Linked DNA regions of Notamacropus eugenii. The protein of the gene in region 2 purifies or fractionates together with the protein of the main gene of each other region. This does not show direct contact. Links are inferred from orthologs where the notes say so. Each region holds a gene or a part of one and is shown on either strand. Other genes may lie near its edges.

What was found.
Region 1: the proteins of RMND5A (region 2) and MKLN1 purify together in Homo sapiens (affinity purification with mass spectrometry; 4 studies listed by BioGRID and IntAct, counting the BioPlex papers as one, with this or other methods). This does not show direct contact. The link is inferred for Notamacropus eugenii from reciprocal best matches to the Homo sapiens genes RMND5A and MKLN1.
Region 3: the proteins of RMND5A (region 2) and GID4 purify together in Homo sapiens (affinity purification with mass spectrometry; 4 studies listed by BioGRID and IntAct, counting the BioPlex papers as one, with this or other methods). This does not show direct contact. The link is inferred for Notamacropus eugenii from reciprocal best matches to the Homo sapiens genes RMND5A and GID4.
Region 4: the proteins of RMND5A (region 2) and RANBP10 purify together in Homo sapiens (affinity purification with mass spectrometry; 4 studies listed by BioGRID and IntAct, counting the BioPlex papers as one, with this or other methods). This does not show direct contact. The link is inferred for Notamacropus eugenii from reciprocal best matches to the Homo sapiens genes RMND5A and RANBP10.

Annotation. Positions count from the first base shown.
Region 1 is NC_092874.1:119,238,875-119,245,767, reverse strand, and holds the start of MKLN1 (muskelin), read left to right. Parts: upstream 1-3,892; 5' UTR 3,893-3,978; coding exon 3,979-4,076; intron 4,077-6,893. UniProt on the Homo sapiens protein: Component of the CTLH E3 ubiquitin-protein ligase complex that selectively accepts ubiquitin from UBE2H and mediates ubiquitination and subsequent proteasomal degradation of the transcription factor HBP1.
Region 2 is NC_092872.1:725,344,936-725,352,584, forward strand, and holds the start of RMND5A (E3 ubiquitin-protein transferase RMND5A), read right to left. Parts: upstream 3,020-7,649; 5' UTR 2,577-3,019; coding exon 2,435-2,576; intron 1-2,434.
Region 3 is NC_092874.1:335,297,355-335,304,718, forward strand, and holds the start of GID4 (glucose-induced degradation protein 4 homolog), read left to right. Parts: upstream 1-4,348; 5' UTR 4,349-4,598; coding exon 4,599-4,787; intron 4,788-5,322; coding exon of another isoform or gene 5,323-5,368; exon of another isoform or gene 5,369-5,413; intron 5,414-7,364. Other genes in the region: ATPAF2 (ATP synthase mitochondrial F1 complex assembly factor 2), read right to left, coding at 3,690-3,840.
Region 4 is NC_092872.1:696,102,032-696,109,236, forward strand, and holds the start of RANBP10 (ran-binding protein 10), read right to left. Parts: upstream 3,003-7,205; 5' UTR 2,973-3,002; coding exon 2,732-2,972; intron 1,254-2,731; coding exon 1,142-1,253; intron 1-1,141. Other genes in the region: TSNAXIP1 (translin-associated factor X-interacting protein 1), read left to right, coding at 3,668-3,720. UniProt on the Homo sapiens protein: May act as an adapter protein to couple membrane receptors to intracellular signaling pathways.

The DNA.
Region 1 (6,893 bases), on a different chromosome or scaffold from region 2:
AAATAGTAAATGCTGTTTGAGCCTCACTTTGATTATATAATTTTCATTTTTTAGATTTTTTTGTATGTCAAAAATTGGTGGATTTTGTTTTCTTATCTATTGTTATCCTCTTTTTTTTTTTATTGAATTGTTTAATCCATTTGTATTTAAGGTAATGATTGTTAGGTTTGTGTTTTTCATTTATTTCTTTTGTATTGATTTTTGTTCCTTCCTTTTTTAAGTCAGCTCTTTGTACCTTTGATTAGTTTTGGTGATACTGCTTTGATTCTATTCTATTCCCACAGGCTTGTCATCCTGGCTCATTTACCTGATATCCTAAATTACCTCAGTTTACTTAAGATGTTAATTTTTCTTTCAAAATTGTTAAAAATATTCTTCCACCTCTCACTCAGATAAATATGTATTCCATAATTTTCCTTTCCCCTTCCAACTTCTTAGATTAAGTAGCATTCTTTTGTTGTTCCAAGAAATTTTCACTTGTTTTTTTTCTGTTTTCCTCATTTCAGTATTTATTATGCATTCTATTCTCCCATTCATTGGCTATACCTAGATCTTTACCTGTTATTTCTTTATTCTATTTCCTTCATTAGAAATGGACTTTCTAGAGTCCCAAATTTGATTTTCTTCTCTCCTATTTCTGGAATTGCCTTTATATATCTTATTTACCCTATCCTCCTTACCACCCATTATTCTATATACGTATGTATTAATTTACCTTATTTTTGTTTTGCTTTTGATGGGGTCTTCTGCTGTGTCCTACTCTTGGAGATGACAATTAATAAAGAAGGAAGCACATAGTGACAAGATTCACTTTGGAACCCAAGTCATGAAGCTTAATCCTATATCTGGCCCTTATCATGATCACTCACCACTTTTCAGACCAGATAATTCTATCTCCAAATCTCCTTACCCCTTGCCAACATGGGTGCTGAATTTTATAATATGTTCAAAGCTGTCCATTTTGCCATTTTTTCCCTGAAATTCTGTTCTCTAATTTCCCACTGAATTTCTCTACTAAAAAAACCTGGACCCCTCCTACCATTGCAGTCTTCTTATACCTTACTCCCCATTATGTACTTGGCTTTCTAGTGACACTGACCTTGCTCTTTCTTAAACAGAATTCTTCATATCCTTCCTGCCTAGGAGGCTCTCCCTTCTTATTGCTGTTTTCTAGCTTCCTTCAAGTCCCGGCTAAAATCTTACCTTCTACAAAAGCTTTTCCCCTGTAATACTAGTGCCTTCCCTCTGGGGATTACCTCCAATTTATCATTTATCCATCTTTTTTTGTGTTTAGTTGTTTGCAACTAAATTGTGAACTCCTTAAGTTTAGGGACTGTCTTTCACATTTCTTTGCATCCTCAGTGCTGAGCACATAGTACATAGCAGGCACTTAACAAATGCTTCTCAACTAATATCTTTTCTTTTTAAAGTTTAATTACTCTTATCAAGTACTTTGGAATTCATTTCTGTTGTTTCAAGATCTCTGGGAATTTGCAGAATATTTTTTTCCATTGGGGGATTTATCATTCATTCCCTAGCATAATAACATAGCATGATAGTTCAGTTTTTTTTTTTTGGTAGTTTGTATGCATTTTTTTTCTTTTGCTGTTGATCTACTTCGTATCTAGGCCTGTATCCAGCCTTTTTCTTTCTCTTTCAGTTTTTAAAAAAAAATGTATTTTTAGTAACTTGTCTCTGGCTTCCCTCCTCATTCTTGTCCCTTTGCCCTTCTATTGCTATGGCACAAAATGTCCTCATCGTCTTCTGTTTGGGGAATATGGGAGATTTGTTCCCTGCCCAAAGTAAACTTTCTTAACTCATTTATGAAAATAGTTCAAAATCTTCCTTCCCCCATGGACTTACATTCTTTCAAGTGGCTTCGCAGAATTAGTTCCTTCTGCATCTTGTCATGGGGGTATGTATATGTGTGTGGGGAGAGGGTGTTTCAGGTCGAGCCCCAACTTTTCAGGGACTGGGAAGGCCTGCACAGATGGACCCTGAAACACAAGCTTGTGAGGTTGATTGCACTGGAGCTGGCTAATAGCAGCTTTATGTGTTTTAATTCTCTCATGTAATTTCATGAGGCATTTTCTTCCTCTAGTGTTTGTTACCTTGCTAATTCAACTGTAGTTACTATATATTAAGCACATATTTTGACTTTTTGTAGGTTAAAGTTACATAGGGAAAATAAATTACTGAGTCATCTCATTGAAGAGTCACCTCAAATTACCCACTATTTACCCTCCATGTGGTACTCAGCTTTTCTGTATCATTCTCTACTGTTCTCCTTCAACTGTTCTTTCAGTATCTCTAGGCTGAGATGGAAGATGATGGCCTCATTCATCATTCCAGTTTAGATATAATCTCACTGTTTCAATGTGTAATTAATGACATTTTAACTGAAAAATTTCCTGGGGTAGATTGCATATTATGTCACAATACACAAATGACTCATGTATACATTTACATATTAAATATATTTGTGATTCTTCCAACCATTTCTTGAAGCATGGGATCATTTTAGTGGGGGCTAGATTTCTGATGCTTTCAGTTTTTTGCTCCAGTAAATGAGGAGATGGGGATAAGATCTTCAGAAATGTGGGGAGTAGAAGACGGTTATAGGAGCAATCAAACGTGGGGTAATAAAAACAATCCTGGAGTATCAGGAAGCCTATATTCTACATACTGCCCCTGCTACAGGGCAGCTGTAGGACTTTAGGTAAGTTGCTTAGACCCCACTAGGCTGAAATCCTTTCTACTCTAAGAAATCATCCCTTCCATAGCATTTCACCGTCTATAAACTAAGAGGTTTCTGATCTTTTGGAACATAGCTGGAAGGCACTTTAGAGATCATCTAGTCTATCCTTTTCGTGTGCAGATTAGAAAACGGATATGCACAAGTTAAGTGACTCGTCCAAGGTCACACATACAGTAAGAGGAAGCGAGGTGACTTGAGTCCAGGGCCTTTCTCTCCATCCAGCATAGGGTGCTGGGGCCCCTTCCAGCTCCGCAATGACGTGATTCTAACGATCCTCTCTGAAAAGTTCAGCTTTTGGAGGCCTTGTCTGGAGCCCACTTCTGTCTCTCTTGCCAAGGCTGGCAGCGCGGAGGCCGTTCCGGGCTCTCAATCTCCAGCCTCCTAGGTTTTCCTGACCCGGGCTGGCTGGCCGGGCCCTCCCTGGAGTAAAGCCGGACTCGGACGCCGGCCTTCCCGCGAGCCCAGGGCTACCTGGATCGGCCAGGATCGGGGAGGATCCTTCGGCGGCGCAGGGGGGAGACGGAAGAGGGGCCCGGCGGCCGGGGGGGGTAAGTCCGGGGCCAGAGCGCCATCTCCGGTCCGAGGCAACGCCAAGGGGCCGGGGGCGTCGGGGCTCCGGGGAAGTTACGGACCGCTTCAGTTCAACCCGCGTTCCCCCCATGCCCACCTCGCGCCTGCGCGAAGCTGCGGAAACGGGATCCACGGCCCCCCGGCCCCGGCCCACTCCGCTCCCCAGGTCCCGGCGCCCTACCGGCTGTGCTGTTCAGTTCTAGGCACACGGGCAGACACGTGAGGAGGGGGAAGGGAGGGCGAGCACCCCGTGGGCAGCAGGCCCTCATTCTGCCTCTCTTCCCTTTCCTCAGTCCTTCGCCCCTGTGCCCTCTCCCTGCCGCCGTCCTCTCCCCGTCCCCAAGGTCTCTTTTCCCCAGGTATCAGCCTAAGGAAACACAAGAGTCTCGGTTCCGGGCGGCCTTAGGTAGAGGCGAGGACGGCGTGTCTCTACCTCCACGGGGTCGCCCCGGCTCCAGGCGCACCCGAGGGAAGGATGCTCCGGAAAGCGTCGGATGCCGAGCGCAGACTCGCACCTGGCCGCGGGGGCCCGCCCGCCGCGCCGGATGGGGAGGCGGCCCCTTTAAGAGCAGGCCCCGCCCCTGCCCTCCCGTCCCCTCGGCGCTGCCAGCGTCGGCGGCGGCCGCGGCGGCGGGTTGGGAGCTGACAAGATGGCGGCTGGCGGGGCTGGTGCTGCGGCGCCTGAGAGCCGGCTGCTGCCTTACGCGCTGCACAAGTGGAGCTCCTTCTCCTCCACCTACCTCCCCGAGTGAGTGCGGGGAAGGCCCGGGGGGCAGTGTCCCGACCCCGGAGATGGCGGGGCGGGCGAGGGGCGGGCGGCGGAGAGAGGCCCGGGCCTGCTGCTGGTGCTTGGGCTGCTGCTGCCGCCGCTGCCGCTGGGGGTGTGGGGGGAGGCGGGGAGGGAGGCGCGGCCTTCTCTGCCCCCTGGCCCGGCCGAGCCCGTCCTCGTCTTCCCGCCCCGGCCCTCCTCGTCTAGTCTGGGCGCAGGCATTAGGGCCGCCGCCGCCGCCGCGCTCGGGCCGAGCTGGCGGGGGACACGGCGTGCGGCCCGGGAGGCGCCGGGAGCTGGGGCGGGCGGAAGAAGAAGTCTCTGCGGGGTCGAGGACCGCGGAGCTTCGGGGAACCCCCCGGAGTGGGCGGCGCGTTGTTCCGGGAGAGAAGCTTGGGAGCATGGCCTGTGAAGTTGGGAGGGGGGAAAACTTGGGAGGCCAAGAGCGGGGCGAGTTCAAGTTCTCCAAGGTCCCGGGAGGGGGAGGAGCCCGCCCGGGGGGGGGGTACCCGGCGGTGACTGCGGACGGGTCAGTGCAAAGCGGGCCATCCAGGAGCCCTTGGGAAGCGCCCGGGCCAAAGGCGGCTCCCAGGCCGATAGGAAAGAGGGGGCTCCGTCTCCGGCCCCCAAGCGTCCGGAGCGTGCCCCCGTGCTAATTTCTAGATCTCAGTTACCGCCTGCAGAGGCGGGGGAGGGCTGATTATCCTCCAGGTACAGGGGAAGAAATGGACTCCGTCAGTTTAGGACGTGTGAAAAAAAGGAAAAAATGGAAGAAAGTCTTTCCCCTCTCCCAGTGCTCCCCCATCTTGGCAGAGTTTTTGTTTTAAGACCTCTGTTCCCCCCCAGAGTTTTCCCGTGGGTCTTCGCTGTGCCAGGCAGCATTGTTTTATAAGCAAACCCAAGTGTGGAGTCAAAAGAGATTGGAGTTCAGTGGGTAATAAAATGGAAATAATGTCCATATTTTACCTTGCCTCTCAGGGTTGCAGGGTTGTTGTGAACATCAAACTAATATACCTGTGTAAGCTGTTTTTATGTTCCTAATTTGACTTGGAGCTTTAAACAAGTATGTGATCTGTGTTATATAGGTCATGTCCAATTCTCGCCCCCTCAACCCCGTAGTTTCATAATATTTAGAAATTATACAGCTCTAGTGTGGTCACTAAAAGGGCATCATGAAACTGCGACTAGGACAATTCAGTCCTTTTGACTCCCAGTCCATTACTCTGTCAGACCACAGTTTGACTGGAAATCTTTTGCTTGTCACAGGATCCGGTTCACTGAATGGTGCCAAATGACCTATGGTCAGATTAGTTTTTTGTGTTATATTGACAGCTGCCCCCAAAAACCTCTTTCTCCTCCTGACTTTCCTGTTTTTGCCATTGATGTCACCATTCATATAGTTTTTCATGTTGAAGACTTTACTTGTTACCTTTGACTTTTCTTTTTCCTGTATTTTTTAAATCTGAGATTTCTGTTGATTCCACCTCAGAAACTTTCCCTCAAAGTGAGGTTGAGTGTTACTGTCATGGTCACACAGGTAGTGAGTCTTTGAGGCGGTATCTTGGAAAATACTTATTAGCCTTCCCTCTGCACGTATGACCACTAGCCTCCTTTGGCTCTCATTGCCTCCCCGTGTGGAGTCTTAGGGTAGAATCTTATTTGGTGTCCCCTCCACGAGTCTTGACTCTCTGCAGTCCATTCTTTAGTAGCTGCCTGATTAATCTTTGCAAAGTACTGGTCTGTCATTCACTTGCTCAAGAATCTTCAGTCCCTATTACCTCTAGGATAAAATACACAAAACAAGATGACTCCAGACCACCTTTTTAGGTGTGTTTTATATCATGTGCTTTATATTTCAACCAAATTGATCTACTTGTTATTCACCTAACTTGGTACATCTACCAAGGTTTCCTGTTCCTGCCTTTGCAGAGGTTCGTACTGGAAATTTCTGTGCTGGAAATGCAGTCTTCTTCCTTGATATTTAGAATCTTTAGCTTCTTTAAAGTTTTCTATGGGAAACCATTCCTGAACTCCCTAAGTAGTAAGTGCTTTGTTCTTTCCTCAGATTATCTTTTTTTGTGTTTGTGAGCTGTATCCCAAATAGAAGGTAGGCTCCTTGAGGGCAGGGGTTGTCCATCTCCTCACAGTGCCGCCTCTGTATCATCATGCTCTTCATTTCCATTTGTTTGTCCAGATCTAGTCTATCATTTATATCTCTGTATGACTTTATCTAGTTGCATAGCTCAGTTTTTAAAAAAAAAAATCTTCATTTTTCTCCCTTATGTGTTCTGAGTCAGTTTCAGACTTTTTAATCTGGAAAGCCTTCCTTTTCATTGTTCTCCAGCTCCAGCCAAACTAAAACATGAATGTATGGTGCATTTCCTCATGCTTTTCTCAACGACTGGAATGTTCTCCCTTTCCTATTTTCCGTTGTCAAATTTCTACCTGTTTTTTAAAATACTTGACACTCAAACTCCAGTTTGAGGATGAAGTCAGAAAAGCAGTCTAGCCCTCAGCTGGAGTGGGGACAAGATAATTGGTACATTGCTTCTGCTTTCTTTAGCTTTCTCATTTTTGAAAGGTGTGAGATAAGCTATAGTACCCTATTGAACTGGCAATAAAAGGTAGGGGCTTAAACAGGTGTACCTGGTCCTGCAGTTATTCTTTGAAGTATCATAGTCTAGTTACTACTAGACTACTAGTACTTGAGGTTGGGAGCTGAGACATGGTTGTTGTTGAGCTCTTGAATTGTTATGGGTCATTACTGCTGTATAAAAACTTGGACATGATGTGATT
Region 2 (7,649 bases):
CTGGGCAAGTCACTTAGCCCTGTCTGCCTGTTTCCTCACCTGTAAAATGAGCTGGAGAAGAAAATGGCAAAACATGCCAGCATCTTTGCCAAGAAAACTCCAAATGGGGTCATGAAAAGTCTGACAGAATGAAATAACTAAAAACATAACTATAAAACAAATGTTTAGCACTCCTGGAAAGCAGTAATGAAGACTATGAGGGCTGGAGAGGCCAGGTGATATAGGATTAGATGCTACCAGTCAAAGAAGAACCCTCAGGTCCCCCAAGTCTGCTGACTTTCAGCAGCACTGAATTACACTAGATCAATAAGCCTTGCAAAGGAGTTTGAAATTTAGAAAACTGCCCCATCCCTATCAAGGAAAACTAGGGAGTAAAACAAGGACAGTCCACACTTTGGCCCAAACAAACTTTGGTTGACAAGTCAAAAAGCCCTCCCCAATTTGGAGCTTTCGTTTACATGTGGCCCCATTACCCACCCTGACCAAGCCCCACTTTCCAAGGAGTTAACGTTAACAAAGCAGGTACTCTGGGCTTATCTACCAGCACAACTGCAAGGCAATAGTGCTTGGGAAAGAATACTCTGCTTTCTGGGAAACAAATTGATCAGGCAGAAAATACCCCAGGCTACCCCACCTCACTTCAGCACATTTCCTTAATTCAGCCTGTTCCTGAGTTAGACTATCATGGTTCTGCTGCCATTCACAATCAGTGGCTTCCACAACAGCCCAAAAAGCTACAGTTAAGGTTACTCTTACTAGCAAACAAGAATAAAAATCTCCAATGTTCTGCTTTTTGTAAAGAAAAATCAACTGCAAAGACTATGCATTATTCAAGACAACCTGCACCAACCCCTTTAAACCCCCTCCTCCACACACAACTTGCCCAAATCTCCCTTTCACCCAGGCCTAAGTCTCTTCCTTAAAAGAGGATGGAATGGGCCTTTCTTATTCATCCAGTTAATTTCCAGGCAGCATCTTTCCACACAAACCATCCCTCCTTCCCTCCTGCTTACTCTCTTTACTAACAACTTCAGAGCTCTGTCATTGACTTTAAAGAATACATGTCATTATCCAAGAGGTTCCCCGAAGCCAGCCCTTTCCCACTGATTTCCAGCCTCTCAAGTCGACCTGATGGCAGGTTAATAATAACACTTGCATGGAGAGGGGGAAAGTCAGTGGGAAGGTGGAAGGGAAGGGACTCCAGAGCCCAAAGGAGTCCAGCCAAGGGATACTCAAGCCCAGAAAGGTTTGAGGCAACAGGCTATTGATGCCCTGTGGAAAAGCTAGAGGAGGGCTGGGCTGTGCAGAAAGGAAAGCTCGATCCCTTTCCTTGGAGCTCTGCGGAGTCTTCTGGAGAAACCAACTTTAAGAATGGATTAGTGCTGCTAGTACCGGGGTTGCAGAGACCCTGGTCTATGGGACCTTAGGAAAGAAGGGGGCAAGGCCCTGGTATGCATCCAAAGTGGAGGAGAAGCTCCCAGTAGGACACTCCTCACAACTGCAACGGATTAAAAGACCCCGTGGGCATGAGACACTAAGAGGGAAAAGAAGGAGGGTGTGATTAGAATGGATGCGAAAATCCTATTAGCTGAGGGGCAAGGTCCCAGTGTGCTCTGGGAGATGGAATTCCACCTTGAGTCCTCTGAAAAAGGAGGGAAGAGGAAGACAACTGGAAAGGAGCAGAAGTTCCCAGTAAGCTGCGGCCAAAAAGCCCAGTCAGACACTAGAGGAATTCAGTGCTGAGCTCTCTCTAGAAGGGGAGAAAAGAGGATGCCACTAGAATGGACTCGAAGTGCCCAGGAACCAGATCCAAGAGACAAAAACAAAACGGAACCAATTCAGAACACGGCCCAGGAGAGGAGGGAAAAGTGGAGATCACGGAACTAGACGAGATCAGGGCTGGCAAGAAGTAAGTAAGCTGCGGAGACCGTGCACTGGGCATTCCCCAGAAACAGACCGAAAGCCCGGGCTCGGTCCGTCTGACCCAGGTCTAGGACACATGGCAGAGGATGCGCCCGGAGGAAATCAAGGTAACAAACTTAGAGCAGGAAGCCAACTCAGAGGTCACGAGATCCAGATGGGGAAACGGAGGCCTACGAGGGTCTGGGCTGGGATCCGAAGGACCCCCGGCTTCGCTCTCAGAGTCAGGGGGTCCGAACCAGGGGAGTTCGGAAGGGAGGCGGCGGACCCACCGGGAGCTGAGCGAACGAAGAGAATGGGCCGGGGGCCCTCGGAATCAATCCGGAGACTTGGCTGGGGGTGGGGTCCCGCGCTGACCACCACTAGGGTCAGAGGGCCAAGGTCCGGGGCCCCAGGAGCCTGGAGGAGGGAGAAGGGAGGAAAGGGGGTGGAGGAGCGGCCCCCGCGCCCGCAGCCCCTCCCCCTCCTCGGGGGGCCCGCCCCGCCCCCGCCGGACGCCCCGCGGCGCTCGTACCCTGGCTCTGCAGGATCTCGTGCTTGAGGCCGCCCGTGTAGTCGATGAGCTCCTCCAGGCCGCGCTCGCACAGCTGCCCGTAGCCCGAGAACTTGTGCAGCACCTTCTCCAGCTCCCGCTCCACCGTCACGCACTGATCCATGCCGGGCCGTCCCGAGGCCGCGTCCCCTTCCAGTCCCCTCCCCGTCCCCTCGGCCCGGGGCCCCCGCTCCGGGTCCTCGGCGCCTCCCGCGCGGCGGCAGCGGCTGAAGCGGCGGCGGGGGCGGCTCAGCGGCGGCGGCAGCGCCTTGAGCTGCCCGCGTCCCCCGGCTCCATGACGCCCCGGCCCCGCTCGCCCCTTGTCCCTCGCCCGCTGCTGCTGCCGCTGGGGCAGCCGCCGATTGTTTTTGTTTTCACAGGAACCGACCGATGACCTGGTTCTCTTCCCGGGCCGCACCAAGCGCCGCCGGCCCGAGGGGGAGGGCGGGGAAGGAGCGCCGGGCCGCGGGCCGTACCAAGCGGGACGGCCGAGAAAAAGAGGGGGGGGTCGGAGAGCCGAGCGAGCGCCGCGGCCCGGGTCTCTACCAGCGCCTAGCGCGGGGCCGGCCGCGCGCAGCCGCGGTTAAAGTGTGGGCCGTACCACGGGAGGCCAGCGAGGGGGAAGAGCGGGGAGAAACCACCGGACACCCCCGCGCCAGCCAGGCCGGAGGACGTGCGTGAAGGGAAAAGGGGGAGGCTCCGAAGCAGCCCTAATCCAGAGGGAAACGGCTTCTAACCCCTCCCCCGGGGACGGCCTAAAAGCGAACCTATGGCCGGGCAACTAGAGAGGAGGCACTACGTCATGAGGGAATCTCCTCCAATCCTGGACCGTAACATCAAACCTCCCCCAATCCGAGTCGAGCAGGCCAAACCAACCGACTCGCTGTCGGAGGGGGGAACCGCTCCCGGGAAGGCAAAACAAACATCGACCCTTGCCTAAGGAAGCCCGCGCGCCAGTACCCCGTTCCTTTTCTATCCCCGACCTCCCCAAGGCCAGGCTGGGAGCGGCCGAGATGACCAGGCCTATTGGTGGCAGAGGCTCTGCCGACTGATAACGACCCTGTCAACTGTCCTGGGATGGGGAGGGACAACCGGAGACCAGCTCCCCTGGAGGAGCAAGCCAATGGCTTTTATTAGTCATTGTGATTAATTAGTGACCTTAGAACTCGGTTGGCTCGGAGGGAGGAGAGAGGACGGGAAGGGAGGGAGTTCAAGGAGGCAAGAAGAGCGCAGGCGCAGGAGAGGGGCGGGGCCGAGCGGGCGCGTGGCTCCTGCACGTGCGGCCCAGGGAGGGCGGGGCTACTGTGGTTTCCATGTGTATGTGTGTTTGTGTTTATCACTGGAGGGAAAGGGAGAGGGGGAGGGGAGGAGCCCTTAGACCGAACTCAGCTGCTGCTGTTTCTGCTGCTGGAACAAGAAGAAAGGGATCCTGGCTTCTAGCGGTGCTAAGCTGACCCACCCAACCCTCCTGCATTCACGGGACATGCCACGTTTTCCTTCCGAACCTTTGCATAAGCTGTGCCCTTTGCCTGGCCCATTCAGTGCTCTTATAAACTTCACTTTTCAAACTCTTAAGTTTCCAAAAGAAAAAAAAGTAGCCCTTCCCATCGTTCTACTAACCAGAGCACGGGACCTGGAGTCAGGGAGACCTGAGTTCAAATCCATTCTCACTAGGTGTGTGACCCTGGGCTAGTCACTTAACCTCTGCCTCAGTTTCCTCATCTGTAAAATGGAAATAATGCCTCCCAGGGTTGTTTTGAGGATCAAAGGAGATCATACATATAAATTGCTATTATGACTAGCTGTCCTAGGCTTTCTTGCAGGAGGGAGCCCTTTTCACCTCCTTTGGGATCCTGCTCCCACAATTATCCCCCTCTCCTGCATCTTTTGGTCTGATGTCTTGGGGACTAGGGAAGAGCAGCCTTCATCCAACCCCACTTCACTCAGATTCTATCTTTGTTGTCTCCTTTGGCTGTCCACTCTCAATCAGTCTGTACCTGCTTCCTCTGTTTCCTCACTAGGCATTCCTGGCTTAGGTCAGGAAGTCTGGCTTCTCCCCCAGTCCCCATCCCATCCTCTGCCCCAGGACTCAAAGGGCCCCAGGGCACTCTCTGTCAGGTCCAGTGTCACTCAGCCCCGTAGGTCCTCAGTCTCTTTGACCTTGTCTGCAGCATTTAGCTCCATGGATCGCCTCCCCTTTCATTCCCATAGGCTCTTGGAGCGTTATTACCCCACCTTTTTTCTTCTTTTCCACATCTATTGCTGACTCCATTTTTCCTCCCATTTCTTACCTGAGTTGCTAAAGTTCAGACCTTCCATCTCTGCTCTTTTCTCTAACAACTCATCCATTCTGACAGTTTTAGCCATCATCTAGGTAGAAAATTACAGAATTTATGTCTCTGGCCCAAACCTGTTTCTGCCAAGTGCCCAACTAAACATCTCCTTTGGAATAATCCATTTTTAACTCAGTATTTTAAAAACTAATGTTTCAAATTGGTTTTACATGCAATTGGGAGAAAATAAAATACTAAATATTTTTTAAAAGAATAATCCTTTCTTAACCTTGATCTTAACCTATCCAAAACAACATATCACTTTACTCAAAACCCACTCTCCTTAGCTTTCCTGTTTCTGTCAGTAGCAGACAGGAGCTCAGTCTTTTTTTGATAGCTGTTTCCCTGACCCCCACAAGTCACCAAATCCTATGGCTTCTCATGTTTCGTTTTCTCTTCTAGTCAGTTCTTTTGGTTTGCACTGTGATCACCCCAGTTAGGACTTTATCACCTATAATATGTCTTAAAGAAATTGTTTTACATGATGCTCAGAAAAGTGTAAAGACCTCAAGAAGAGCAGACCCCCTGCTTCCAATACAGCTCAAAGTGCTGTCATCCAGGGAATTGGCTCTTAGGGAGATGTGGCCTGGCATCTGCTTCTGCAATTTTTGCAGGCCTCCTAAGGGACCACAGCTACAAAAGACATAGAAAACGAAGTCTTTGACATTCCCCTGTGGTTAAACATCAGAAATGGATAAGGTTTTATCAAGGAAAATAACATGAAAGAAGAGGAATCACCATCTGCTTGGTGCACCCAAAGGACTTTTCCAACTAACTTGCACCTAAAACCTCCCATAAATATTATCTCCTCTATTACCTTTTCAGGAATGTGCACATTGGTAATGAGGTTGAGGCACACATCGCTAGAGCTGGCTCGATGTTTGAGAGGCTCTCAAGGTAAGTGTGGGAGAGAAGAGGTATTAGACTGACTACTAAACTGAAGGTCTACAGAGCCTTCTGCTGACCTCATTGTTGTATGCCTACAAAACATGGACAGTCTACCAGCGCCATGCCAGGAAACTGAATCGCTCCCATTTGAACTGTCTTAGGAAGATTCTGAGGATCCCCTGACAGGATAAGGTAGTGGACCTCAGTGTCTACTAAACTGCCAAGCATTGAAACTCTGCTTTAGAGACTCCAATCGGCTGGCTGCTTTGTTCAAATGTAAAACATATGCTTGCCAAAAAGACAATATTGTGGAGAACTCACACAGGGCAAGCATTCACATGGTAGTCAGAAGAAGCAATACAAGGACACTCTCAAGGTCTCTGAAGAACTCTGGTATTGATTTGTGACATGGGACACATTGACACAGGACTGCTCAGCATGGCATGCCCAAATCAGAGAAGATGCTGTACTCTATGAGCAAAGCAGAATTGAAACAGCTCAAAGGAAATGCAGAATATGCAAATTTAGAGTATTCAACCCAATTGTTCACATGGACTATTTGTGCCCTCATGGTGGTAGAACATTCTGAGTCATCTTGGTCTGATCAGCCATAATTAGATACACTGAAACTTGACTTTAGCATAGTAATATCATTTTGATCCTCTTCTAGATCAGACAACAACCATTCTCCTCCATTAAAATGTGTCACCAGAAACTTCAGTGGGTGGAAAACTAAAGAAATTAGAATTTACTTTACCAAGGTAGGGAAATACTGTTCTAAAGGAAGGGTCTTTTTGAAAGGTTAAGTAATTGGTCTTCATGAACCCTCTCCTTCACTTTACATTTAATCAGTTTTGAATGCAATCAGTCTTGGAATAAAAGAAATGGGAAATCAAGGTGAGAGGAGAAAATCCAAATTTTACCTAGTTTACCCAGAACGCCTTAGGGACAGCTACTAGGGAAAATCTTGACCTAAAGCTAGAACTGGCCCTGGGATAAGAAAGACCTGGAATCAAAACCTGCCTCAGACCCCTTCCATGTAGAACTAGACTAGAATAATGACGGGATTCTTCATTCCACTCAGTTCCTCATCTGTGAAATCAGAGGGTTAGTCTAGATGGCTTCTCAAGCCTCTTCTGGCTCTCCATCTGTGATCCTACAGGGGTTTTTGTTAGTTGTTTTTCAGTTGTATCCGACACTTCATGACCACATTTGGGGTTTTCTTGGCAAAGATACTGGAGTGGTTTGCCATTTCCTTCTCCAGTGAAAACCCTATGACTTTTATGCAAAAGCAAGATCCTGGGAGAATGAGTCTGGCCATTCTTAAAGTTAGGAAATCTTGACCTCAATATGTAAAAGCCTGCAAACCTTTCATTGAAAAGCACAGGTTAATTTTAGTATTTCATCAAAAGGCAGACTGTCTTTTAAGGGTATTGTTAGGTCTGGGGGGGGGGGAAATCACTTCAGTACCATCCATGGGACTTGGGAGGTGGGGTAGGAAAGGCTTCTTTTGGGGTTTTGGGAAGTCAGTGAAAAGAAAAAAGAGTTGAAGCCCCAGCTCTGTCACTGAGCAGTTGGTGGCACTGGGCAAGTTCCTTCACTTCTCTGAGCCCCAATTTCCTCATGTTTGGGTGGGGATCACAGGATCATAATCTGAAGCCTAAAAGGAACCTCAAGAGTTCATCCAGTCTCCTCCTTTCACAGAGCAGAGGAGTGGATTTTCCCAAGCTCATGAGGATGGCGTGAACTAGAATTGGCACTTGTACGCTCATGTAGGACTTCTAGCTCTGCTTTTTAACTTTGTATTATTTCATGCAGACTTTTCTACATTTCAGAATATTTTCCACATTTGCTTTTATTTAGGTTGATACAATCTCCATCTGCAATCTCTAATCATAGTCCACTTAGCCATTTGGCATTTTAGGTTTCAAGTTTTTAAATATCACACAGTATAGTATAAGCTACAAATACCTTTG
Region 3 (7,364 bases), on a different chromosome or scaffold from region 2:
CCCTAAAAACACAGATCTAAGCACTTTACTACCTTGCTCAAAAGTCTTTAGTGACTCCTAATTGCCTACAGGATAAAATGTAAATTCTTGAGTCTGTCAATTAAGCTTTTCCACAATCTGGCTCCTATCTACAACTTTTCAGCTTTATTTCAGACTGTTCTTCATGAACATTTTGGTCTAGCGTAAATGGACTACTGGTATTGTAGTTAGAAGTTAGCTCATCAAATTTATTTTACAGATAACAAAACTAGGGCCCACAGAGGGGAAGTGATGTGCTGTTAGGTGGCAGACTCAGGGCCTCAGAGTACAAATCCAGCACTCTTCCCTATACCAGACTGCTGATGCCCAGACTTGACTGAAGCCAGAAAGCCATCTCCTATGTCTGTAATGCATTTCTTCCTCCTCTTCACCTCTCATAATCACTGTCTTTTTTCAAATTTAAGTGTGGGTACCAACTCCTCTATGAAGTCACCTCTGACTCTGCTAGCCACTATTTAATTGATAAACAATTTAAGTGGCAAGATGTGTGCTAGGCATCAGTGATACAAATATAAAAATAAGACAGTCTCTGCTCTCAAATTTACCAAAAGTCTTAGTTGAGTGAATTTTAATCTTTAGTAGTTTTAAAGTATACTAAGACTTGGGAGACACCTTGTATAAAATAAATACAGTGACTGATGGTGGTGGATAGGAGGGGACTACCAACTAGGGAGTCACCAGGAAAGGCCTCTTGAAGGAGGTAACCCTTGAGCTGAGCCTTGAAGGAAGCCAGAAATTCCAAGAGGAAGAAGTAAGGGAGGAGAACATTCCAAGCATGGGGGGGAGGGGGACAGGCTGGGCAAAGATGAAATACTATGGTCAGAGAAATGCAAGCAGATCAATTTGGCCAGAGTGGAGTGAACGAGGGGGAAAACGCCAGTAAAACCCTATCAGCCAAGGATAAGTAGAAAACAGATTTTGGAGGGCTTCAATGTCAAATAAAAGAGGCTGTACTTCTATTAGAGCTCACTATCTTGTTTTACCTTGTAGTGCCAATGACCACTCGTCTATGGCAGAAACTTGCCTCAGTGTCTAGCACATAGTAGGATCTGTTTTTACCAAAAAGATCACCTTTAACCATGACCTTCCAACATTAGATTGTGTACTCTTTGGAGGAAAGACACAGGGCAAACACAAAGCATTAGACTGCCTTTGTTTTGAGTTCTTTCAGATCAACTGAATAGGACTGAATATGAAACTATTGGATGGAGGAGGTCAAGCAAGCCCACTCAGAAGAAGCTGCAGGGCATTCTGAAGGAGAGACAGGAAGCATCACAGACCAGTTGGGTCAGCCAACATCTCTCTTTGGAACTGTAGTGCTTTCAATCCAGTGTCAAATGGTTCAACACAGAAACTGATAGGATTTTGTCAGTGGAAATGGCATTGAAGATCAATCATCACCATCTGCTTTGCTGCTGTACCCTAAGGACCAGGGGACCTTTCAATCTGACTTGTAGCTGAAACCTTCCATATGGAGTTTCCCCAGGAGAATGTGAGCTCCTTGGAAGGAGGGAATGGCTTACTTTTCTATTTATATCCACAGTTTTTTTATACATGATAAGTGCTTAATAAATGCTTCATTCATTCATCGACTCATTCAGGAAGATCTGCCACATGATGAATTTTCCACAGAGTAAATTTCCTACCAAGTTCCCTTATATGATAAAAACTCTAAATGAGTCAACGTAAATTATTTTCTAGGTAGTGGAGACAGATCAGAAATCTTTCCCATAGCAACTATATTAGGGTAAAGAGTACTGGCCACTAACTGGCCAGGCCAACTCCCTTTCTCTCCCTGCCCTGCCCCCTCTGCAGTATAGAGAGGGAAAGGGGAGACATCAATCATATATTTCAAGTTAGAAAAGACAGTCTACAGATAAGGAATTGCTGCCAAGAGAATAGGTGGCAAAGTAGCTGTCAGAATTCATCTACAGGAACTCATAAAGATCTCTGCTTTCCTCTATACCAGGAAAAATCTGAAGAAAAATCAGGAGAAAATGTATGGGACAATCCACTAGGAAGGGCAGGGGGAAGTGGAGTACGACCAATCGACCAACCAGTCAGAAGATGGGTTACATCTATCCTTTGCCTAGACATCCAATCATCAGGCACCTCTCAAACACAACCCCAGCACCCCCTTCAACCATTATTGCCCAACACTACCCCACTTTGCCTTCAGCTCCTAAACCTCTCCCCTTCTACTCCATCACTAAAACCAATCAATCCCAGCAGGTATGTCAATGCATCTCCCACAATCCCCCGAACCCCAGCAAACACATACACTGCCCCCCAGATCACCTCATGATGGTTTGGTGCCTCTTGGATAGTCCTATCCTCTAAAGGAGAAATATTAAAATTCATCTGTTTGGTTAGCCACATCAATCAAATTGACTGAATATTTAATTCACACCCTTAACATTCACATCAAAGTTTTGAAAAGTGAAATGATCACTATTACTAAATCACTCTAGCTTGTTTTTATTGAGAAAGCAGCAGTATGTATGTTTAATGTGATTGGGAAGTAACCAGAAAATCTGCTGTACAATACAGGTGTTCACTGGTTATATATATACTATATATGATAATATAGATAATATATAATAGCCAGTGATAACCAAGTACCAAACTTACAGATGTTATACATTTTTCTTTTAGCAAAAAAAGTGATAGTTTCTGCTATGAAAGTGGTTGTCAGAAATAGTACTGTACTTAGCAGTTATTTAAGAAGAAATTAACTTGAATCTGTTCTTTCAATATAAAGGTGATGTTTTAATGAGTTTTAATGTTTTAAGAATGAGAATGGTTTTTGAAAGAACTAATGTAAGAGAGCACTGGAAAATGGAAGGTTGGAAATATTTCCATCATGTGATTTTGTTGCTAAAAATGCTATGTTGTCATCTATAAACTCTCATATCTTCAAAGTTAAAAAAAAAAAAACCTAAACAGCTTTGGAAACAATTTTCTAACCTGTTTAAAAATCTTCTAAATGAAAAGTTTCAGCAGGTTTTGAACCCATTTATTAAAAATATTAAAACGAGACACCTGCAGATTTTAACTTGCAGTAGAAATTTTCTAGCCAACTTTCAACCAAAAAATACCTCAGTATATCATCGATAGGGCCGAAAAGCGAGTATGAAGATTGAGTGAGTAAATGCACTGTTTCCACTTTGTTCTTTGTCAATTTTTTCCCAAGGTAAATTTACCATTAAAACCCAAATTAACTGAACCTGGGACCATGTACAGTGATACATGTAATTTATTATATATAATAGGATTATACCTCTATCTTCATATATGTACATATCGCTATACACATCTATAAAGGGTGAATCTACTAGACATATCTACACATACACCTACTTACGTGGATCTACCTCAATCTACACATGCCTAGTTATAGGCACAGACAGATGTAGGTCTGAATGGACAGACAGATACAAATATAAGCAGATCTATATCCATATATACACACACACATATACCTCCATACATTAGGGCTACACGCTTCCACATGTTTTCCCTGGAATAGGTGACCCCTGGGCTGCAGGGCCCGTCCGTCCATCCCGCCATGGCGGGTGCCCCTCTCCGGCCCCCCCCGAGCTACCTGCGGCCCAGGCCCGGCCGCAGCGGGGCCTCCCGCCTGCGCTCACCTGCGGGGGGGGCGTAAGCCCGGCGGAGGAGCCAGAGCCCCGGGGCCGGCGCGGCCTGGTCCCCCGGCTCTACGGGGGCGGCAGGGACCAAGCAAGGACGGCGTGGGAAGCTCGCGCCTCCGGCCCCGAGCCGAAAGCAGCTTCGCCACATAGCACCTTTGGGCGGGGACAGGGAGCAATCGAGGAGGGGACCCCAGGGCGTGAAGGAGAAAGACCGCAACCTCTCACGGTTGGGGCAGTTGCACCGGACCCGCCTGCAGAGTTCTCCCACCACTAGCTGAGTTCAACTTCCTTTGGCCACCGCCATATGACCCTGAGCCACTACCGGCCGGTCCCCTAACCTTCGAGCCCTCCCAGCCAATCAGCGTCACGAACTCGTTCCGTCTCTAGGCAAAGACTACATATCCCAGCGGGCCTTCGACCTCTGGACACGTGTGGCTCACGCCAACCAATAAGAAGAAGCGGCGGCTAAAATTGCTCCCGCCCCCTCACCGGGTCAGAGCCAATTGGCCTGAATTAGCTTATGTGTGTATGAGTGTAAGTATGTGTGTGGGTGGGTGGGTATGTGTCTGTGTGCGCGTGCGCACATGAGTGTGTAGGTAGGGGCGGGGTGGGGGGGGGCATCCAGGGAGGGGGAGCCCCCGTTCTCTAGTCCTCCCGCACCCGTCGGCGGCTAGAGTAGCTTGTCGGCCAATAGCGGGGTGGGCGTCCCTCTCCTCCCTCCCTCCCCTCCCTTTCTCATCCCGCGCGCCTGCGCGCGCCCGGCCCCCTCGGTCAGCCCGCCCTCCTCCGGCTCCCGCGCGGCGGCCGCGGCGGCTTCTCCCCCCTCCCCGGCTTTCCCTTCCCCCCTCCTCTCCCTTCCCCTCCCCCCTCCCCCACCCCACCGCCCTGGCTCCGGGGGACCCCGAGATGCCGGTCCGCACCGAGTGCCCCCCGCCGGCCGGAGCCTCGGCCGCGTCCGCCGCGTCCCTCATCCCGCCGCCCCCCATCAACACCCAGCAGCCCGGAGTGGCCACCAGCCTCCTCTACAGCGGCTCCAAGTTCCGCGGCCACCAGAAGAGCAAGGGGAACTCGTACGACGTGGAGGTGGTGCTGCAGGTACCGGCCCGGCGGGCGGCGGGCGGGCGGCCTCCTCGGCCCGGCCCGGCCCGGGCCTCCCCGCGGCCGGCCTCCCTTCCTGGTCCGCACCCGTGCTCAGGCCCCCATGCCCGGCCCCTGGAACTCCCCCCCATTGTTGACACCCCCAGCAATGGGTGGGGGGCTCCCCCCCAAGCAGGGTCTTAGTTCTCTGGCCCAATTCCCCCTTTTCGTAGACGTCTGTCCTTCCGCACCCCAGGCCGGCCTCCCTGAGTCACCCCCCGACCGCTGCGGGGGCCTTCCCTTCCCCATCTCCACCTCGGGGCCTCTGCTCCCCTCTTGTCCCCGGACTTCCTACTCGGTCCTTCCTCACCCCCACCAGACGTCGTGCCCCCCGATATCTTATATCTGTCCTTCCCTCCTCCCGGGGCCTCCCTGAGTCACCCACTGACCGCTCTCCTTCTGTCCACATCAGTCTGTCCTTTTCTGTCCGTAGGACCCCCCCGCCCCCCGCCCCGACACTCCTGATATTGCCCCACCCCACCCTCATCTCCACCTTTCTCTGCTGCACAGAACATCCTCTTCTCCTGCCTTACACCCATTCATTAGAAAGGCTTTGATCCCTGGAGAACCTGCTCATTTCCTCCTCATCTGGGGACCTGCTCCCTGGTTGAAATAACCCATGAAACCTGGCAACTTTCTTCCGTACCTCGCCTCTATTTCCTCTTCATAACCTGACCAACAACCACTCCCACTTCTCCTGAGGAAGAGGTCTGGTTAGTCCCCCCAGTGAGCTTCCCCTCCCTTCAGACAGCATTCCTTCTCTCTGTGAACCTCTATTAAAGAGGTCCTCCTTGCCTCTTACATCACCTCCTCTCCCTGAGCTGGCTTTGGAAATGTTTCCTGGCACATCCGTGCCACTTAGGAGGAATTTGCCCAGGGTGGTGATGTGAAATTTTGTCCTGGATGTGTGAACGGGATGGACAATCTTGATTGCTCCTTACTCATGCCTTTTTCTTTGGTCTAAGAGGGTCTAGCATCTTGCCTCAGATCAAATAGGCCTTTAGTCAAAAGACACCTTAAAAACAAGTTCATGAATCCCAGATTAGGGACCCCTGTTCTTGAGCGCAAAACAAACCTTTTTTCCTTGTCTTGTGGAAATCATTATTCTCCTTTCCTGGAATGGGAAGATGTCCAGTGCACTTTGCCTTAACCATTTTCTTCTTAGTTAGCCTAGTCTATATACCAGAGGACCTCTCTTCTTTTCTTCCCTTAGGGAAGGTAGATGATTTTCTTTCAGGCCTGAAAACTTAGCTGCTATCCTTTGTCATATTGTTTATATTAAGAGAAAATGTGGTGATTTATCTGTGCTCTTCCTGAATTTTAGAAACAATATATAATAGGCTTTCTCTTCATTTCCCAAATTTTGTGTCCTTTCTAGAGCGTAGTTGCGAATGTCTTTTACAACCCATCGCAGAAATCGTCTTAGTGAAAGAGAGCTCTAGAGATTAGCCATAAATTGTAAAGATGAAAATGTTTTTGTCTTCTTTGTGACCCTGATTTCTAATTTGGGACCTTAATCTCAATAATTCACTTTTTCCACATTTGAGGACAACCTAAGTTTGGGGCAGGTGAGGATGTATATCATGGAAAAGGATAAGAATGAGTCTGCTGAATTTGATATTTTAGATCAGGATGAGGACTGGAACTTTAAGACAGCTAAAAGTAGAAGCCCATGGATGCTGGCTATAAGACATCTTAGCTCAAACGGAACTTTCTAATGTGGATTGTAGTCATGTCAGGTAAAGGCTGTGCTTGTTCTGCAGGTGGATGGTGAGCTCGTTCATCAAGCTAGCATTCTTGTTGCTCCATCAGCTAGGACCTGGCTACTTCTGTCCCTGTGGCCTGTTTGCTTGTACCGTATTCATTCTTGAGGTTCTGCCTTGAGAAGAATTCTATCATATCATGCATTTTACCGGGTCTACATTTTTTTTTGCTGCAGTGTACTTCTTGCTATCCAAGAAGCCAAGTGCAAAGGAAATCTTAGGACACTGTGGAAGGAATATAAAGAGAGCACCTTTGTGTCCAGATGTGCTGAGTGGCTCCTTTTTGCTAAACATGTTCTTTTATCTTTCTCATCTACACTCTAGTTACAATATACACTGTTAATCTTCTCCTTGTTAATTCCAAGCTTCATAATGGTCAGTTTAAACAGAATAGATGAAGTATTGGGTTGAATGTAGGACATTCTGGTTCTTTGATGTTTTGTTATTCTTAAAATATATTAGCCAGGTCACAGATGCAAAAACAAAAAACAAAACAACCACAGCCCATCTCATCAATATCCATGTCACCCTGGTATCTTTCCTTCACTTGTTAAACCCCCATATATGTTTTTTCATTGAGTGCTGCATATATAGACAAGGTTGTAGATTAGAACTTTATATGTCATTTATAATTTAGGCAGTGCTGTGTAGTGGAAAGAGTATTGTTGGTCTTAGAATTAGAAAGACCTAACTCAACTCTGCCACTAACCAGCTGTGACCTTGAGAAAGGCAAGACTTAATCTCTTTCTTCATCCACAAAGTGAAAATAGTA
Region 4 (7,205 bases), about 29 Mb from region 2:
AGGATTTCCAATGCATTTACTTTCATGTTCTTTCACAACCTAAACACCTGCTCTGTTTCCAGCCATTAAAAAAAGATAGTTGCTACAGATGGGATTGGGAGTAGGGAGGAAATAGAAGAAAAAAATTTTCTCCCCAGTGACTACTTTGATAGTTCCTGTGTATTTAGTGTTGGAGTACCCTGAATTAGTGTGCCTCACTCCAGCTTACTTTAATTAGACCCCTTTAAAGCTAGTCAGATGGGTATTCAAATCTCTCCACTTAAAAACACCTCTAGGTGCAGCAAGGCCAACACTGGTATTCATTGTTTCCCTAGAGGCAAGTCAAAGATGCACAGTCATGGTTAGAAGGTACCTCAGAAATCATCCTCAACAACATCTCTAACAACTGGTCATCCCATTGCTACTTGTGGGAAGCTCACCACCTCCTCATCAGCTCATTCCACATTGAAACAGGTCTAATTATTGGGGAATTTTAAGGTTACACTGAACCAAAAATGTGTCCCTCTACCACTTCCACCCATTTCTCCAAGGTCCACCCTATGGCACCAAAGAAAACAAATCTAGTCCCTCCTTCTCCAAATATGACATCTCTCTAAGTACTTAAAGACAGTTTCTTTTTGTCCTTCCTCAGTCTGTGTCTTCTCTCACTGCCTTTACGAATGCTACCAAAATCCGTAATTTTCTCCCTCCCCTTGAAATCTGCAAGTGATTATAACCTATAAGAAACAGACTCAAGTGTGGTAAGAGCTATAATGGCAGGGGGGGAGAGGACGGAAGAGTGACCTAGCATATTTCCATATGTTGGGAAAGCCCAACACATGAATGTGAGACAATTTTGTAAACTTCCCATCCAAAAGAATGAGCAGCAGACAATCCCCTTGTGGTTCCATACCTCTTACATCACGCCTAGCAAAGACCTGTCTTTCAGCTGGGTTTACCAGATGAGACAATAGTGCTAAATGGAAAACCCACAATCAACTAGGCCAAGGGCAACATGTAAGGGCCTTCTGCTCTTTCAGCATACATTACTAGCTTACCACCTGTTGGCTCACAAACATCAACTGGGTGACCTCCAACCCTGACTGACAAGGAAAACTCATCTTTGGGGACACTAGGTAGACTGGTGTGAGAGGTAACTTACCCATCTCTACCTTTACTGACAATCTTCACTTCAAAGTAATAAATGCCACAGGCAGCAGGTATGGGGTGAGTTGCACGAACTGATGCAGCGTCTTTGTGATTTTTGCCATGACCTGGAAGAAAGGGATAAGGAAGCTTCAGGAAAAGGAAATGCTAACAGCAGCCTCTCTCTTTCCTGTTTGGTGATTACTGCAGTGGAGCCCAAGCAAGGACTCATCACAAGTAATTCTCACACAGTACAAGGAGGAATTTGATGATAATTCAATCAGTTAACAGTCTGGCCCTGCATGTAACTATGTCAATGACCTACAGAACATGCTATGGCTGTGGGTTTTACTTTGTCTCACCTCTTCCAGGACTTAGAGAGACAGAAGCAGTAGCGCTGACTGAGAAACTGGCAGCAATACAGAGGAAAACTAGGTAACGATGTTCCCTAATAAAAGGCTGTGTGTCTGTGTGACTTCTAAAGATAAGGAGGTGATGTCTGTCAGTCCTCAGGAAATTGTGGCAGGCACCTTTCGGGCATCTGGGAAGTGGGGGGGGAGAGAACCAATACCCTGTTCTATTTACTTAAATGTTTCCCCTTAAATAAGAAATGCGGGGCTTCCTGAGGAGGTTTAGCAGGAAAAAGTGCCAACAGGCCTCTGGCCTACGGTTGGGGAGGTCACTACCAAGAGGTTAACATCAGGAAAACTACAAAATGGCCAATGGCTCGGCAGTCTGAGCTACAAGAAGCTAAGAAGCCTGTGTAGCAGGGAGCCTGGAGGGCCCAGTGCATTATGTAAGGTGCCGGCAGGAGACAGGGGACACCTGCTGGGACTCCTGGGGATTCAGTAAGCCATCAGGACAACCTTCTCCAGGGAAATGGGGGGGGATGGGGGCCCCCCCAAACTGAATCAGGCTGAATTCGGAGAAGACAGACAAAAGGAAGGTGGAAAGAGCATGGAGTGTGGAGCTCAAAAGCAAAGGTTTCAGTTTTAGCTCAAGGCACTTGGACCCCTTGGGCCTCAGTTTCCCTCCCCCCCAAAAAAGGAAAGGGTTAAAACTAGGTCTCCAACCCTAACCCCAAACATCCAAGACCTAGGTTTACTTATGACTAGGTAAGGATGAGAACAAAGCTATGGGGCAGGACACGGTGTCTTACACACTCACACACGTTAAGAGCCTCTCGGATCAGGGAAAGAAAGGCCCGAAAGGGAAAGAATGAAGGACAGAAATTTGGGGGGGGCCGAGAGGGGCTGTAGGCCCTCCCCTCTTCTCTGTCCCCTTCTCCCCTCCCCAAATATCTGCCGCGGGCTCAGACCGCAGGGAGGAGACTCCGCTGCGAGGTCCCGGATTGGGTGCTCGGAAGGCCCGGGTTCGAATCCCAGCTCTGGCACCGGTGAGCTGTGTGACCTTGGGACAGTCTCTTTCCCTCTCTGAGCCTCAGTTTCCTCACCTGTGAAATGGGGGGATGGAGGAGGGGGCGGTGCGCTAGGCGGTCTCTAAGCTCTCTCCAGATCCCCCGAGCCCTGTCCAAGGGCGGCCCGGCCCCGCGGACCCCCGCGGACCCCCGCGGACCCCCCGTCCCCCACGGCCCCGACCCCGGCACCTTTGTAGTGGACGCGGAGGTTGCTCTGGGAGAGGCCGATGTAGTTGTACTTGTCCTTGGGGCTCCAGGAGCGGGGCAGCGGCGTCTCGTGCTGGTTGACAGCCGGGTAGAGGCGCTGCAGGCGCCGGGTCAGTTCCTGCTCCCCGGGAGAGGGGAGCCCGCCAGCGCCGCTGCCGCCCCCGCCGCAAGGCTCGCCAGCTGGGGGGCTCCCCGCTCCCGGATCCGCCGCCGCTGCCGCCATCTTGGAGGGAGCCGCTATTGTGTCACAGAGAGGCGGGGGGAGACAAGCACCAGATCCGCCGCTCCCAGCCAATAAGCTGCGCGCCCGCGGAGGCCGTAGGGAAACTGAGTTTGACTTCCGTGTTCGCATGCGTGTCTTCCCGTCGGAATGACTACAAGTCCCACAGTGCCAGCGGTCTCAGGGGCGGGGCGAATTCGCTTGAGAGGGTGGACGCGCAAGGCTTACCGGGGGTGGTAGTCCGTATCTCTTCAGTTGGAACCCTGTCAAGGGGAGACTTTCGGACGGTAAAAACTACAATTCCCTAAAGGAAAGCGGCTTTGGCCTCTCAGCCTTCGACACCGCCCCCCACCCCGAAGCCACCGTAATTCTGTTGCCTTGGAGCGTGTTAACTTGTTTATCTCTAAGTATTACTTCTCACCTGTGTGAATATCCTAGGGAAGTCTCCCCCAAGCGGACGTGAATCTCTCCTTCCCAGACCTCCCATACAAGGGGCCAGAGCTGCTCCTCGTCGGGGGCAGGGACCCTGACCTAGCTACGGGCCGCGCGACTCAGGCAGTATCGCAGCCACCCCTGTCCGCGGGGGTCTTCGCGAGGCTGCGTTTCCATAGCGACGGACTGTAAACAAATCCCGGCGGAGGCTCCTGGAGTAAGGCGCTGAGGCTGCGGGCGAACGGTCGCTGCCCTAGGAAAGGGATATGGCTCTCCCTCGGCCTAAAGGCGATACTACCTTGTCCCAAGCGACAGTGAGGTATGGCTGGGGCAGAAGCTGGATCCCCGGGCTTCTCGCTTTCTCCTCAGCTGCAGGGGGGGGGGGGGGGGGGGCATAGCTGGTACCTCCGGGGGCGAGAGACTGGCACTCGCTGTGAGGGTGCCCACGTGTATTAGGAGAATAACTGCGCCTAGTAATAGCTAGCATTTCCATGGAGCTTTAAGATTTCCAAAGTGCTTTGCTAGGATCATTCCCATTTTATAAATGAGTGAACGGAAGCGTCCCGATTCAGTAAAATGAGTCTGTAAACCCAGAAAAATGATAAAATCCTGCTTTTGACTTTTAAAGTCTGAGTACACCTGACCTCCCTCTCCTCCTCCATCCTCCAACTCTGCTGGCCGTTGACACTGGACTCCCTGCTCTTTTGTCCCCCTGCCCTTGGCATTTTCCCTGGATATGTCCCATGCCCGGAGTTCTATCCCTCCTCATCTCCACTTCCTGGCTTCCTTCAAGTTTCAGAGTCCCCACCTTCTGCAAGCTTTTCAGGGCTTCCTAATTTCTAGTGCCTTGCCTTAGAGACTGTTTCCAACATATCTAGTATATATTTTCTTTATACGAAGTAGTTGGCACTGTTGTCTCCCACATTAGACTGTGAGCTCCTTAATAATAGCTAGCATTTGTCTACCTCCAGAAAGAGAACTGTGAACTCTTAGGTGCAGATTGAAGCATTTTATTTTATTTATTTTTCATTTACTTTTGTTGCATTTTTTTTTTTTGCAACATGGCTAACATGGAAATTAGTTTTGAATGACTCCACATGTATAATTGATATATTGCTTGCCTTTTCAATGGATGGGGAAAAGGGACAGGAGGGAGAGAGAATTTGAAACGCAAAATTTTTTAAAATGAACGCTAAAAAATAAAGCAGAGAGGAACACCAAATATAATAGTAATAACTGGCATTTCTGTAACACCTACTATGTGCCAGTTACTACTACAATCCCAGTTTTACAGTTGAGGAAACTTGAGGTTAAGTAACTTGTGCAAGGTCACACCGTATGTGAGGACACATTTGAACTCAGGTCTTCATGTCTTGAGGCCAGTCTCTCTATCCACAGGGCCACCTAGCTGCCTCCTTGAAAGCAGGGAGTGGTGTTGCCTTTCCTTGTATTCCGTGCTAAGCATAGTGCCTGACACAGAGTGGGCACTTAAAAATGCTTGTTGACTTGACTTAAGACTGAGCTTGGTTAACGAACTTGGCCAGAATTACAGACAGAAAGTGATGGAGGCCAAGATTTGAACTTCTGTTTCCTTAACTCTTAAGTACACACCCTATCCATTACTGACACCTAGAGGCCACTCCATTAATTTGGAGTCCTGGAATAACTCTCATTTCCATGGTGTCTTAAGGTTTACAAAAGGCTTCCTCTCAACAGCCCTGTGAAGTATTTATAATCCTTACCAGTATTATCCTTCCTCGTATTTCTAGATAACAAAACTGGGACTTTAGAAGCTGAAATGATTTGCCCTGGGGGACAGAGGGGCTGGTAAAGTATCAGAGGCAGATTTGGATCCAAGATTACCAGATTCCAGCTCTAATTCTTTCCACTCTACTATCCTGTGTATCTAATAAGATTTAGAGCTGGAAGATACCTTGGAGATTTAGTCCAACCCCTCATTTTACAGAGGATAAAACAGACCCAGAGAGGGAAGCTATTTGCTCCAAATTACACAAGTGAGAGAACCAAGGATAGAACTGGGATCTGGAGAAAAGAAGCATGTGCTCCAGATCATACAGGTTAAATGCAAAGTACAGTCCTATTAGATAGAGAGATTCACCAATGATTTTTTAAAAAACCTCATGTTTCTGTAGCACTTAGGATGACCAGGTTTAAAATTGAAGGGGACCTTAGGTATCAATACAGTGAAAACTCTCCATTTTACAAAGGATTAAATTAAAGCCTAGAATGGTCAAGAGACTTGCCCACAATTACACAGCTGGCAAGTAACAGAGCAAGGTTTTCTGACTCTAACTCTCCTGTCCTTTCCACTACTGCTCACATTCTATAACACTTCCTCCTCAGTCCCAACCTCGTCTCCATCAGCACACATCTGTGTGTCCTTGGGCAGATCATTTCCTTTCTCTAGGTTTCAGCTTCCTCATCTGTAAAATTAGGAGCATGGACTAAATGATCTGAAGGGCCTTTCCAGTTCTAAAATCCAATGATACCTTTCTTGAAGTTCATGCCAATAAAGATGCAAAGACAATTAGGATGTCCACTGAACGGATACTTACATTCATTGAATTAAGGCAGCACTGGTAAGGTAAAACACAGGCAAGGGATCTGTGGTCAGAAAGCCTACATTCAGATCCTAGCCCAGGTACCTGTATGATCTCCTCAAGTCATTGCTCCTCATCTGCAAAATAAAATATGCAATTGTCTTTCATATCAGCTGTTGGCAAAGGGGGTGGTGTATTTTTGTAGCTGTTGCCTGAAGAGGTATTGGAAGGTGAAAGTTGTTGATGATGAAGATGAGGACCTGAATCAGGGCTTCTTCACAAACGATTTTTCCCATAGGCCCCATAAATTATGAAATGCTTTGGGTATAGTAAATTCCTAATAAATGGCTGTTGAGTGAATCAATACTCACTTCACTCCCCTGTGCCAAAACTTAAGAAAACCTGATATCAAATCTGGCCTCAGATATTTACTAGCTGTGTGACCTTGGGCAAGTACTTAACCTCTGTTTGCCTCAGTTTTCCTTAACTGTAAAATGGGGATACTCATAGCGGTTACATCCCAGGGTTATCATGAAGATGAAATGAAATAATACTGGTAAAGTGCCTGGCACATAGTAGATGATATAGAAATGCTCTTTTATTAAGGAGCTCACCATCTAATTGGGAAGACAATATGCCAATCACTTTGTACAAAGAAGATCAATACTAGATCAATTGAAAAGAATCCAGTATAATCTGGGTTCAGATATTGACTCTAATACTACTAGTTTGAACTTGGGCAAGTCGAAAAATGAGAGCCTAGAACGAATTGATTTCTAAGGCCTCATCTTAAAGCGTATCCTCCACCTCTCATGATCCTTGGACTTTCTTATCAAAAAAATCTGGCCACAGGTATTTGTACTGGCACCAACTGAATTCCCCTTTGTTTTGCTTGGAACCTTGAATCCCTCTGGAAGGGTGTGAAATGTTGAGGAGCAGTATCATTACCCATTCTGACGGTACCCCTCTTTCAATGAGATTCTGAGCACTTTAAGAGGTTACCAGATGTTGATAGGAAGGGAACAGCTGTACCTTCTGCCCTAAGGCAAAACAAGTCCAGAATGGGACCACACTCTCTTTAAACCATTTTGAAATGGACCCTAAGAGAAACTCTTTCCATGGTGGGGAGGGGAGCGGTAAGAAATGAGGGATGGAGAAACGAAACAGAATTGCTTCAACACAACCTGGCTCTAATGAAGACAACCCTAAGACACTGACCCACAGTCATCCGTGGGGCTGGCAC